4 separate regions of the Mus musculus genome follow, and regions 2, 3 and 4 are each reported to be linked to region 1. Evidence: microRNA targets listed by miRTarBase, many of them from high-throughput screens and not tested one by one. Region 1 holds a microRNA gene; each other region holds the end of a gene's coding sequence.

Region 1 (3,158 bases):
TAATTTCTCTCATCACAACATTCATACATGATAGGTGTGCCTTTATCCAGTTGCCTTTTCTGCAGTGCCCTGTTGGGTGCTTTAAAGTATGAGGTACCTTGATGATTCGAGACAGGCCTCTCTAACTAGAGTCCATCTGGAAGAAGCCAGGCACCTGGCTACCTCACTTCTAAACGTGTCCAGTGGATTTTAACACATTCACAGATAAGTATAAATTCTTGTTGATGAGTGATGGGGCACACTCTCTAGGCAAGATGGAGTTAAAAGTGAAGTTTTGGCCTCAGAGGCAGGCATAATTGCCCCTCAGACTCTCCTACAAGCCTTGCTAGTCTCCTCTGTGTACCCTAGGAACTTAGAACACCCTTCATTACTATCAAAATTCACAAGAGGCAAACTAGGCATGTTTTCCACAGTATAGACAAACATGCTGACCTGTCAAGATGCTACTTAACACCTCAATACCAAACATCATTATATGATATTTCTCAGTATCAAATTCTCAATATCAAATAAATAATTAATAAATAGATAAATAATAAATAAATAAATAAATAAATAAATAAATAAATAAATAAAATCAAGAATGCATCAGTGGATTTTGAACCCAGAAAATTTCAGGATGGTTTTGTTTGTTTTATTTTGTTTTGTTTTTAGAGACAGACTTTCTCTGTGTAGTGTTGGCTGTCCTGGAACTCACTCTGTAGAACAGGCTGGCCTCAAACTCAAAGATCCATCTGCTTCTGCTTCCCAAGTGCTGGAATTTTAGGTGTGTGCCACCACTGCCTGGCCATACTTTCTTCTCAATGACTTCTATTTATCAAGAAGAAGAAAACATGTTAGCCAGTAACTAGCCCCAAAGGAGAAAGTTGGTTTTCTGCAAGCACTCAACTATCTTTTCGGCCTACATCTTTCCTCTCCTTATGCCAATACCTTATGGAGATAGCAAGCCATATTTTCGGGGAGCCTTTCCTTCTTACCTACACTTGATCTCACTTTACTACTAACAAGCCGAAAGCAGAGGATACCCCTTCTATTCAATGGTTCTCAAACTTTAGATACCTCAGAATCACTGGGAAAGCAGGGTACATGAGTTTGGGGACCCCACTCCTGGGTATGTCAGGGTGGTAAATGTTACTTTTCGCTTAAAAGGTCAACTTGTAAGTTCTTACATACTGGAATCCAGACTTCTTCATGATCTACAAGAACCAAAAATGCCTCTGTTTCCCTCGATAGACTCTACTAAAGTCAGTTCCACCCATTCTTTCAAACCAAAGGACTGTGATAGCTATTACTGGGAGAAGGAATGAATATAATATATTTAAATAATAAAAAAACTGTCAAACAATGTAAATTAGTGAATTGTAGTTACCATATTCATATGAATGAGCCTTACAGATATCATGTAAGGTAAAATTAAAATGCCACAGATAAATATTTATAATATTAAAATATATTGATTCAGAACATGCATAAATGAGAAAAGCTATAAAGAAAAACATCTAAATTACAAGAAAACAAGAAACTCAGTATCATAGTTACTGTATATTCCCCACCCACTTATATTTCATTTTTAATGCAAACATGATACATTCATAGAGGGTTATATAATGTACATTTACATATGCATACAAATATACTTGACAATGTTAAGGTTATTTTAGAATATAAAAGAAAAGAGTGTCTATTTTTTCCATATTCTATAACTGTATTCCATTTTCGTGCCTAATGTTCCAATTTGAAAAAAAAATAAGAGCTAAATAAAATAAATAAATAAAAACTAAAAAGCATACGACTTTGTGAGATTTCTTTCAAGCTCTGTGAGAGGTTAGTCAGGATAATGTTCTCTTTGGGGTTGATTCATGCTAATGTGGTTCTCTCTGTTACAGGCTTGGACAAGTGGTGCTCAAACTCCAAGGACTTCACAAGCTTCAGGCTGCAGTCACCTCCAAAGGGAGTGGCCCCCTGCTCTGGCTGGTCAAACGGAACCAAGTCCGTCTTCCTGAGAGGTTTGGTCCCCTTCAACCAGCTACAGCAGGGCTGGCAAAGCTCAATATTTGGAGAAAGAGAAGAGAAGAGAAAATAGCTGCTACAGCCTTGCTTATGAAAAGTAATGCTGGTTTTGCCATCATAGCCTTATGTTCCCAAGAAGGAAGAAGAAAGGAGAAAGCCCAAGTTCACAGGTCACATGCTCAACACACAGAATCCTCTGCCACACACACACCTTCTAAATCACCCACATTTAGAGCCATGCACACATCTTCCATGCACACCCACTAATGATGCTAAGGATGGAACTTGAGCCAACCTTAGACCAGTCAGTGGCAGAATATGATACATAGGAGACAGGTCTTCTGCTCACAAGGACACAGAAGCATAAGTAAGGCCACTGACCATGGAAACACAACACAGTACAATGGAAATGCAGTCGAGAACATGCTTAATCCAAGATATAATTCATATATATATATATATATGTGTGTGTGTGTGTGTGTGTGTGTGTGTGTGTGTGTGTGTGTATGGATGCTTGCATATATATATATACATATATATATATATACATATATAAGTATCTATGAATATGGATGTATATGAGTATATATAGTTGACTGAGTTCGCCGTGACATTCTACATCATTTTCCATGAAGCTGAGAACTTTATGTACACTGAGACTAAAGTACACAGAAAGAGGTTGCCTAGCTCCCAGTGGCTGATACCAGTAATTAAGGTAAAACCTTGGCTTCCTGTTTGAATCCTACCCATCTTGTCGATTAGCTATGATGTGCGCTCAGTCAAATAGCCTCAGTTACCTCCGTAAAAACATTAGTTGCTTCTTCACCAGTAAATGGAAAGAGTGACCTGGATCACACTATTGTTCTAAGATTTTGAGAGGACAATGTCTGTAAATAACCAGCCATAATCACTCAGAGAATGTGTGTTTTGCTGTATGACAATGATGGTGTCATGCCCAGAGGCATGGCTCCCAGAGAAGGAAAAACAAATTTTAAAAGATAATATTTCCAAAATAAATTTTACATTAATTTTGGTATACTTATATTCCCACTATTGATTCTACTAGCATGCAGCATACATTCATCCTAGTGTGTACTGTTCGTATGTAATGCTTTTTGCTAAAAATTGCTTCACGTGTGAGATTCTAC
Region 2 (3,158 bases), not on the chromosome of region 1:
AAGGGTTTCTGTAGGAACTTCTGCCACCGTCATCAGCTGTTCATCAACTTCCAGGACCTGGGTTGGCACAAGTGGGTCATCGCCCCTAAGGGGTTCATGGCAAATTACTGTCATGGAGAGTGCCCCTTCTCAATGACCACGTATTTAAATAGTTCCAATTATGCTTTCATGCAGGCTCTGATGCATATGGCTGACCCCAAGGTCCCCAAGGCTGTCTGTGTCCCCACCAAGCTCTCGCCCATCTCCATGCTCTATCAGGATAGTGATAAGAACGTCATTCTCCGACATTATGAAGACATGGTAGTCGATGAGTGTGGGTGTGGGTAGTCTCGGGACTAGGCTAGGAGTGTGCTTAGGGTAAATCCTTTAATAAAACTACCACCCCACCTTTGGCTTATGCTCTCTTGAATCGGACATGTCTGTCATCATGGTTCATGAGCCCCACAATTACACACATTTGTGTATGACTATGGACCCCTTGGTGAGCTTACTTAATTTGTGCTCATTATGCATAGTAGCTGGGCTTCTTGTTCTTGTTTGAAACAAGGTCTTATTATACATCTTTGCTGGCCTTGAACTCATGGCAATTCTCTTTCCTCTACCTCCTGTGTGCTGGGATTACAGCTGTGTGCCACCAGGACCAAAAAAAAAATTTTTTTTTTTGAAACAGGAAACATGGTCTCTATACCAGGCTGTCCTATAACTATGTAGACCAGGCTAACCTCAAACGCACAAGAGATCAAACTGCCTCTGCTTCCTGAATCCTAGAATTAAAGGCCTGCCCTGTACCATATTATATCCAATTGTATATCTTAAGATTTTAAAATTATTTTGAGAAAATATAACATAGAAAAATTTACGTGAGCTTTAAAAATGTTCACTTGTTTGTTTTATGTGTGGGTGCTTGTGTAAGTGCACGGTGTACATGCAGGAACCCGTGGCGGCCAGAAGAGGGAGTCAGATCCCCTGAAGTTACAGGTGATCATGCGTCTCCTCCATGTGGATGCTCAAGTGGGTCCTGCACAAGAGCAGGCAGCGCTCTTACTGCTGAGCCAGTTCTTTTTTCTGTGTAATCCTGGCAGTCCTGGAACTCACTCCGTAGACCAGGCTGGCCTCGAACTCAGAAATCTGCCTGCCTCTGCCTCCCAAGTGCTGGGATTAAAGGTGTGCGCCACCACCGTCTGGCTTCCTGGGGTTTTCTTAATAAATTTACTTCAACTGAATTATTACAGCAAGATTTTGTTAAGGTGTTTGAATAGATATTGGATTATGTGTACACGTGTTTGATACTTTCCTATCCTTTTTTTAAAGGAATTATTTATTTATTTTTTGTATATAAGTACACTGTAGCTGTCTTCAGACACACCAGAAGAGGGCATCAGATCCCATTATAGATGGTTGTAACCTACCATGTGGTTGCTGGGAATTGAACTAAGGACCTCTGGAAGAGCAGTCAGTGCTTTTAACCTCTGAGCCATCTCTCCAGCCCCCTATTTTTTAAAAAATAATTTATATATATAAATATATGTATTATAAAATTATATATAGAAATAATTCTATTTTATGTGCATTGGTGTTTTGACTGTATATATGTCTGTACAGGGTGTCAAATCCCTTGGAACAGGAGTTATAGACAGTTGTGAGCTGCCAGGTGGATGCTGGAACCTGACCCTGGGAGAGCAGCCATTGCTCTTAACCACTGAGCTGTCTTTCCAGCCCAATTCTTTCTTCTTCTAATTAGCTAGAGCTGACAGCTTGGCACAGCCCAGAGTTATTATCTCAGGGAGACTCAATGGGGAATTGCCTTGATCAGACCGGCATTCGGGTTATGTCTGAGGACATCTTATTGATGGTTGATTGATGTGAGAGGGCCCAGCCCACTCTGGGCAGTGCTACCCCTGAGCAGGTGGACCTGGGGTGTATAAGAAGAAAGCTGAGAGGCTAGAGAGATGGCTCAGTAGTTAAGAGCATGCGCTGCTCTTGCAGAAAACCAGAGTTCAGTTCCCAGCTCCCATGTACTCTAGTGCCAGTAAATCTCACACACACACACACACACACACCTAAAAATAAAATAAATAAATAAATAAAATAAGGAAGAAAAGAAGAAAGAAAAGCAGGTTGAGCAAACCATGAGGGAAAAGCCAGTATTCAGCATTTCTCCATGGTCTCTCCCCTTCAGTTTCTGCTTCCTGTTCCTCTTTTAAGTTTCTGCTCTGACTTCTCTCAGTGATGAATTGTTCTCTGGGGTGTAAGATGAAAGAAGTCCTTTCTTCTCCAGGCTGTGTTTGTTTGTTTGACACAGCAATAGTAAAGCAAAGCAGGACCTTTCTATAAAAGTTATTAAAAGGGAGGCTGGAGAGAAGGCTCAGCAGGTAAGAGGTGACTGTGGCTAAATTTTGTGCACTGGAGTTCAGAACCCAGCAACTATGTAACAAGCCTGGTGTTCTGCAAACACCTCTCACTTTGGTTCTGAGGGGTCCTACACTCTCTTCTGTACACACACACACACACACACACACACACACACACACACACATCTGGACTTTTTGTTTATGTGAGACAGGGTTTCTGTGTAGTCCTGGCCATCCTGGAATTCTCTCAGTAGGCTATGCTGGTCTTGAACTCAGAGATCCGCCTGCTTCTGCCTCCCATGTGCTGGGATTAAAGGCGTGCACCACTATCGCCTAGTTCAAAAATCATTCTTTTTATACATCTGTAATCCCAGCACTTGGGAGACAGAGGTAGGTGGAACTCTGAGTTGAGGCTAGCGTGGTCTATATAGAGAGTTATAGACAGCCAGAGCCACATAAAGAAATCTTGTCTCAAAAAGTAGGAGAAAAGAAGAAGAAAAGAAAAGAAAAGAAGAGGAGAGAAAAATAGTAAAAACCTTGTTGAAAGGATATTGGTGGGGTGGCCCACACCTTTAATCCCAGCACTCAGGAGGCAGAGGCAGGTGGAACTCTGAGTTGAGGCTAGCGTGGTCTATATAGAGAGTTATAGACAGCCAGAGCCACATAAAGAAATCTTGTCTCAAAAAGTAGGAGAAAAAAAGAAGAAAAGAAGAGAAAAATAGTAAAAACCTTGTTGAAAGGATATTGGTGTGGTGGCCCACACCTTTAATCCCAGCACTCAGGAGGCAGAGGCAGGTGGATTTCTGA
Region 3 (3,158 bases), not on the chromosome of region 1:
CATCTGTCTGTCTGTCCATCCAGCAGCTCACCACCCACCCCCAGCCCAGGCTCTCTCTTTGTCCCCAGGATTAGGGATGATGATCTTCGGCATCTGATTGCGGTTTCTGTGGTCTTATGGGCCGCTGCACTGACCAGCTGGATCAGTGACCGTGTACTTTGCAGCTTCTGGCAGCGGATTCACTTCTACTACCTGCACAGCATTTGGTAAAATACCCCTCTTGGATCCCAAGAACCCAAGTCAGAGTTCAGATGCACTCCAAGTAGAGAAGTGTCTGGGGTGCAAGAGTGGGAGAGGGACAAGATCCAGACCCTGGGATATAGAGGTGGTAGGGAGAGGTTACAACTGGCTGCCTGGATCTAAAGAGCCAAGTTAGCATCTGTGAGAACCTAAGAAGACTGGGTAGAGCTGGGGGCATCTCTCGATTTCTTACCCTGCCCTCTCTTAACCACAGGCACGTCCTCATAAGCATCACATTTCCTTATGGTATCGTGACCATGGCCCTGGTGGATGCAAAGTATGAGATGCCAGATAAAACCCTCAAAGTCCACTACTGGCCCCGGGACAGCTGGGTCATCGGGCTACCCTATGTGGAGATCCAGGAGAATGACAAGAACTGCTGAGCTCTGCTGTAGTCTCTGCTCTCTGGCCAGCCACCGAGTCTCCTGTGTACTGAGGATACAGGGCAGGACAAGGCTTTCAGTGGGCACACTTGCAGCACCCATCCCCCGGCCCATGCTCCTTGCCCTGCTCGTCAGCACAGGGTAGATTTACTTGTGGCTCAGGGTACTAGTTTGGTGACTGAGGGACAGGGGCTGCCTGGTGTGTGGGATGACTGGCCTGTGTCCACCTATGAGACCACAGCTTCTTCATGGCCACGGATGTGGTGAACAGATGGGTGTGTGGCTGATACAGCACCTGCCTGAAGCATAATGCTTGCTCTCTGTCAGCTCGCACATCTGGGACTGTTTATGAGTGTTATAGATTCAACTGGATCATGACTGTATTCTGGGAAACTGGGGAGTATCCAAAGAACATTCCAGGCCCCACCACCTACAGATAGATATTCGTATAGAGACCTCTTTGAACCACCACATGCACTCAGGGCAAAGTGTTGAACATGAGAGCCATGAATGAGGATAATAGAGGGCTAACCTGGGCAACATCATGGGGCACTTAGAGGATAGGGTATTGGGGAAAGGGTCTCCGTGATGGCTAAGGACACAGAGTTAGACATGCCAAAGCTTGATTTTCTGCTCCACAGTATTCAGCTTGCATAGCCCTGAGGGATGTGATGTTTCAAATGCTGTTTGTAAATAAAATGTCATTCCCTCCTGGGACTTCTGTTGATTAAAATTAGGTCACGTGTGAAGTATTTGGAATAGCCTTGAAAATATCCACCCACCCACTTATCAACCATTCACCATTTTAACAACCTATCCATCAACCCACCCATCCATTCATCCACCTGTCCATCCATCCATTCACCCGTCCATCCATCCATCCATCCATCCATCCATCCATCCATCCATCCACCCACCTTCTCTCCCTCTCTCTTTCCCCTCCTTCTTCCATCTACCTCCCTCCTTATATCCATCCATTCATTCCACCTCCCCCTTAATCCACCTACACAAATTAAAATTGCAAGTGTGGGTTGCTCAGATGGCTCTGATGGCTTGCAGTTCAATATGATGACCTGAATCTGAACCCCAGAATTTGCATGAGAAAGAGAATAGAAGGCAACTCCTACACATTGTCTTCTGACCTGCACACACATGCAGTAGCACACACAGTGTGGCAGGTGCATAGACCAAAGTTTGTTTGTTTGGTTGGTTGGTTTTGGTTTTTCGAGACAGGGTTTCTCTGTATAGCTCTGGCTGTCCTGGAACTCACTTTGTAGACCAGGCTGGCCTTGAACTCAGAAATCTGCCTGCCTCTGCCTCTCAAGTGCTGGGATTAAAGGCGTGTGCCACCACGCTCGGCAGACAAAGGTTTTTAACATGTAAAAAAATGCAAGTAAGGAGCTGGAGGCTCAGCAATTAAGAGCACTGGCAGCTCTTGTAGAGGACCCAGGTTTGAGTCCCAGAACTCATGTGGCAGTCCCAGGAGATCCAACCTCCTCTCCTGGCATCTATGGGTCCTCACAGACATGGTTCTCAGATACACATTCAGGCAAACATTCACATACATAAAATAAAATAACCCACAAATGAAGTATCCTGATCTTATTTTCAGTTCACTCCTCCTTACAAGATGCCACTCTCTTTGCCTGACAGCAGACATAGAGTCCCCTACCCACCCTCTGGCAGTGGTGACAGATGCTAACTGCACGAGCACTCAGAGACATTGATATATGGTCCGAAGAAGACATTGTTGGAAGGGCTAGTGTACAGGGTGACATAGGGGAGAAGCTTCCCTCGAAAATGGCAAGATGGGTGTGCCCTTCTTGGAAACAGTGAGTCCTCCAGTTCCTTGGCTGCATGGGACAACGGAAGAAAGACAGGCTAGCTGTCGCTGCCTGGGGCGGGATCTGAAGCAACAGGGAAGGGGTTTCACAGCTTGTCCGGGAAAGGAGGACACGAGGCAGTAGGTGTCTCTGTTCCAAGTTTAAAGACAGGGCGTTTCTGTTTAGCCCAGGCTGTCCCAGACCTCTCAGTCTTCCAGCCTCAACTTCCTGGGTACTGAGGTGACAAGCATGCTTTACCTTGCCTGGCCACTCACAGGTGGGTAGCATTCTACATCTCCATGTGATTGTGACATGTGTCACAATTTGTCTGGGCATGTCATCTAGCCCCCTGCATGAAGCACTTCAAACACACAAGAATACTTTCCTATCATAGATAAGGCTCAGAGGAGGTAAATGATTTACCCAAGAACACACAGCCTGGGCTTTGCGTCAGACCTATCCTTCCTGAGAGCTCTTTGGACCCCTTGAGGGGGGTGGAACCTGGGCCTCCTAGGTCCCTTCTGTCTATTTTCTTTCTTTCTTTCTTTCTTTCTTTCTTTCTTTCTTTCTTTCTTTCTTTCTCTCTTTCCTTCTTTCTTTCTTTCAAGATTTATTTATTTATTCTATATGAGTACACCTTAGCTGTCATTAGACACACCAAAAGAGGTCATCAGATCTCATTACAGGTGGTTGTGAGCCATCATGTGGTTGC
Region 4 (3,158 bases), not on the chromosome of region 1:
GGAGCCTCTGTCAGATGAAGTGAGGGGTGCACATACTTTGTTATCCTTCAGCAAGCCAGAAACACACACCCAGGGCACAGCTGTTTAGATCAGCACGAGGTATGAATGCAACAAGTACTGGGTTCTGGCAAGCACCCCCTAATATTAGTCATATAGCTAGTACAATATCCTAAATATATGTCATCCATCCTCCCTGCAGGTGAATGACAGATACACAGCTTATACCCTGTCTCCATTAAATAACAGACACTAGAAACACTCACGCCAGGCACAGACTACAGTGATCTGATCCGTACATTTGAGACTTAACACCAGGCTACAGAAACACCTTCTTGCCTGAGGGATTCTCCCTTTCCACCACAACCGAGATTCTCCTTTCAGCCGACCCCCAGTGGGTGGGCTGAAGTTTCTACCTTCCGGAATCCACAGCACCTCCTCTACACTGTAGCCTCCTTCTGAGATCTTTGCGGGGGGGGGGGGGGGGGAAGGAGAGTGCATTCTGAGCCGAACAGGCTTCCCTTGATCCCAGCAACATTATAATCTAGATATCACCCTGACATTCCTAAGGTTAGACCTTCGGTTAGCTGAAATGAGGACCCATAGGTTCACACCCTTAAGCTCTTAGCTTCTCCCAGCTCGTTCCTCTGGACCTGTCTCTTATCCAGGTAGAGAGAGAGGCAGGTGACAGATTCATGGTTATGCATGGGATCTAAACTCCTGTTGCACGAACCCTCAGCCACTCACTGCCGGATCCAATATCTGTCACCCCATTGGAAAACTGAAGGCCAGCCACCTCTAGTCAACCAGAGAGATTTCATCTGCAACCAGGTCAAACACCTTTTGTATCTTCTTGAGAGCATGGGTCTTAATTCGTTATTTGATGGAGCTCAGTAAAGAGAAAGCAAAAGCCCACCTCCGTAGCATATTGTACACTAAGTCCCACCTGAAACACCAAGTTTCCTACACTTATTTCAAGATAAATGAATGCCAATTGCTAAAAACAACGGTACGACAAATCACCGATTACACTGTAGAAAAGCTTGCAGCTTCCAAGGTGTTTCTGAAATCTGGATTTTATATTAAAAAATGTTACATATATTTTTGACAAAAAAATTCTTAGACGTATGAGGATAGCAGTGGAAACACAGCGTACGCACCTAGTACAATTATGTAAGAGGCAAAATATAAACTTACACGAACGCAAAACGAGAACAAACCTTGCCTACAGTAGCCTCTAGCGAGGGCCGGGTATCTTTGCCGGTGTGAAACAGCCGCAACAGACAAACGATGACACAGAAAAACAAACAATCTCCTGAAAAACAAAGCAGCAGCGACAGCCCAAAGCGCCTGCCACCCGGGTTGTCCTCAACTCTTGTTTGTGTCACTTTTTAAAAGAACACAATTTTTCTTGAAAGGCTCGCTCTCTTAGCTAGCTAGCTGCTGAACTACGGTGTAAAAGAAACAATGCAAGTCCGTGTTAAAAGAAAAACAAAAAACAAAAAAATTTATTTGGGAATTGACAAGGGACGCCCTCACACACGTACAAACACAACAAAAGTGCTCTAGTTCCCTCTAGAAAATTTGGTCCCCGAAAGACATTACTCAACCACCAGGTCACGGGATTTCGGGCCAGCCGGCTGGGGCCACAAGCCCGTGTGGGCCGGCCATGACGAGTTTCACATTTCTCCTTCCGAAGGTGGAAGAAACAAGACATTGGAAAAACAAAAATCAGGGATAGGAGTGTCATCTGGGCGGTGTGTACCAGCCAGGCAGAGATCTCTTCTGGCATCCGGGGCAGAATCGGAAGATCCGGGGAAATTTGTTTTGAGTTCAACTTTTAAATAGAAAAGAAATTCCTAATTTGTAGTGGAAACCTTATTTTAGCTAGTTATTTTCTCCTCCCTCTGAACACAGCCTAATGAAGTCACCACGGGAATTCTTACACAAATTTCCCAGCAGGGTCGATGAAGAAAACCAAAACTTTTGATTTTGTTGTTTGGTTTTAGCAAACTCCAAGGCCATTACATTTCTCCTCCCCACCCCCCCATGAATGTTTTATTCTCTCCCTCTTTCTTTTTTTCTTTAAAAAGTATTTTTTAATATTTTCAAAAGCCTCACCAATCTTTTTCATAAAGACCTGGCCTGGAGGTGCCCTATGCGGTGCTCTGCGGAGCGGAGGCACCACGGCCTCACAAGGAGCGGGGGATGAGAACTCGGTTGCAGGCCGCGGAACGAGGCTGTCCCTGCTCCAGCCTGGGGCTCAACCCCCGCCCCGCCCAGTGGGCCCCTCTGCAAGCGGCTTCTGATCAGTTCCAGGAGGGATCGCAGAGCGACCAGACACGTTCTTTCCATTCTCCGGTAGTGTGGGTCCCTCTTCCCCCAGCAGCCTAGCGCTTCTAGTCGCAGACAGTCGGGGTGGGGAATTAAAAATAAAATCGAGCTTGAGTCCACCGACCTGGAAGAGAGGGCCAAGAGGTAAGCTGCGTCTCAGACACTTCGACCGCACCTCGGCCGGGGACTCACTCCCTGCGGTGAGGAGAGGAGGCCCGCGGAAAGCACGGAGTGGGCGGCCTCCGGCCAGCAGCACGGGAAAGCAGAGGCCGCGGCGGGGAAGAGCACCGGAGGAGCAGCGGAGGCGACAAAGCGGAGTCGCAGGAGCGGGGCGGACCGAGGAAGGGCAGACCGCTCGAGGGCTCTGCATCCAGAAGCTGTCCCGGAGTGCGCGCTGTCAGGCTGGCTGCTGCGGCTGCGACCCGAGCTCGGCTCCTCCACTCCCGGGATAGGGGTGGGGGACCGCTCCCGCGCGCGTTGGCACTCAGAGATCCAGACGCGAGTGCAGCGCGCCCGTCTTGCTGTCGTGGTCCCAGTATGAGCAATGCATCATGGCGAGCTCGGGTTGCCGGGCGCAGGCGAACTGCAGGCCGGGCGCGCTCGTGGGCGCGGGTGCCGGGGGCGCGGCGGTGGCCGGGCTGGCGGGACTGAGCTGACCCGGGGGAGGCGCGGCAGCCCCGTGGTGTGGCGGGGCTGGCGGGGGCGCAGCGGCCGCGTGCAGATGATGTGCGTGAGGGTGCGGGTGAGGGTGCGGCGGCGGTGGCGGCGGCGGTGGTGCGGCAGGAGGGCCCCCCAGGCCGTTGTAGGAGTTCACGACGCCCGGAGGC

The links. The annotated mature microRNA mmu-miR-133b-3p reads UUUGGUCCCCUUCAACCAGCUA and lies in region 1 at 2,008-2,029, shown strand. An mRNA with a match to its seed (bases 2 to 7 or 8) in the 3' UTR can be bound and repressed. Matches are read on the target gene's strand: a 7mer-m8 pairs with bases 2 to 8, a 7mer-A1 pairs with bases 2 to 7 and ends in A, and an 8mer does both.
Region 2: the mRNA of Gdf3 is a reported target of mmu-miR-133b-3p. Seed matches in the 3' UTR shown: 8mer at 638-645.
Region 3: miRTarBase lists Acer1 as a target of mmu-miR-133b-3p. Seed matches in the 3' UTR shown: 7mer-A1 at 1,809-1,815.
Region 4: miRTarBase lists Foxl2 as a target of mmu-miR-133b-3p. Seed matches in the 3' UTR shown: 8mer at 1,581-1,588.

The regions. Positions count from the first base shown.
Region 1 is chr1:20,680,827-20,683,984 of GRCm38, forward strand. Mir133b (microRNA 133b) reads left to right here and starts at 1,943; the gene lies at 1,943-2,061. It overlaps Lincmd1 (long intergenic non-protein coding RNA of muscle differentiation 1), which reads left to right. Exons shown (of 3, transcript NR_131249.1): 3 at 1,887-2,132.
Region 2 is chr6:122,603,475-122,606,632 of GRCm38, reverse strand. It overlaps Gdf3 (growth differentiation factor 3), which reads left to right. Exons shown (of 2, transcript NM_008108.5): 2 at 1-1,230. The coding sequence ends at 327. Among named protein-coding and RNA genes, the nearest start is that of Apobec1, 2.6 kb to the right of the region's middle.
Region 3 is chr17:56,952,544-56,955,701 of GRCm38, reverse strand. Acer1 (alkaline ceramidase 1) reads left to right here. Exons shown (of 6, transcript NM_175731.4): 5 at 69-206; 6 at 455-2,212. The coding sequence ends at 623. Among named protein-coding and RNA genes, the nearest start is that of Mllt1, 19 kb to the right of the region's middle.
Region 4 is chr9:98,956,446-98,959,603 of GRCm38, reverse strand. Foxl2 (forkhead box L2) reads right to left here. Exons shown (of 1, transcript NM_012020.2): 1 at 1,478-3,158. The coding sequence ends at 2,816. Among named protein-coding and RNA genes, the nearest start is that of Foxl2, 2.4 kb to the right of the region's middle.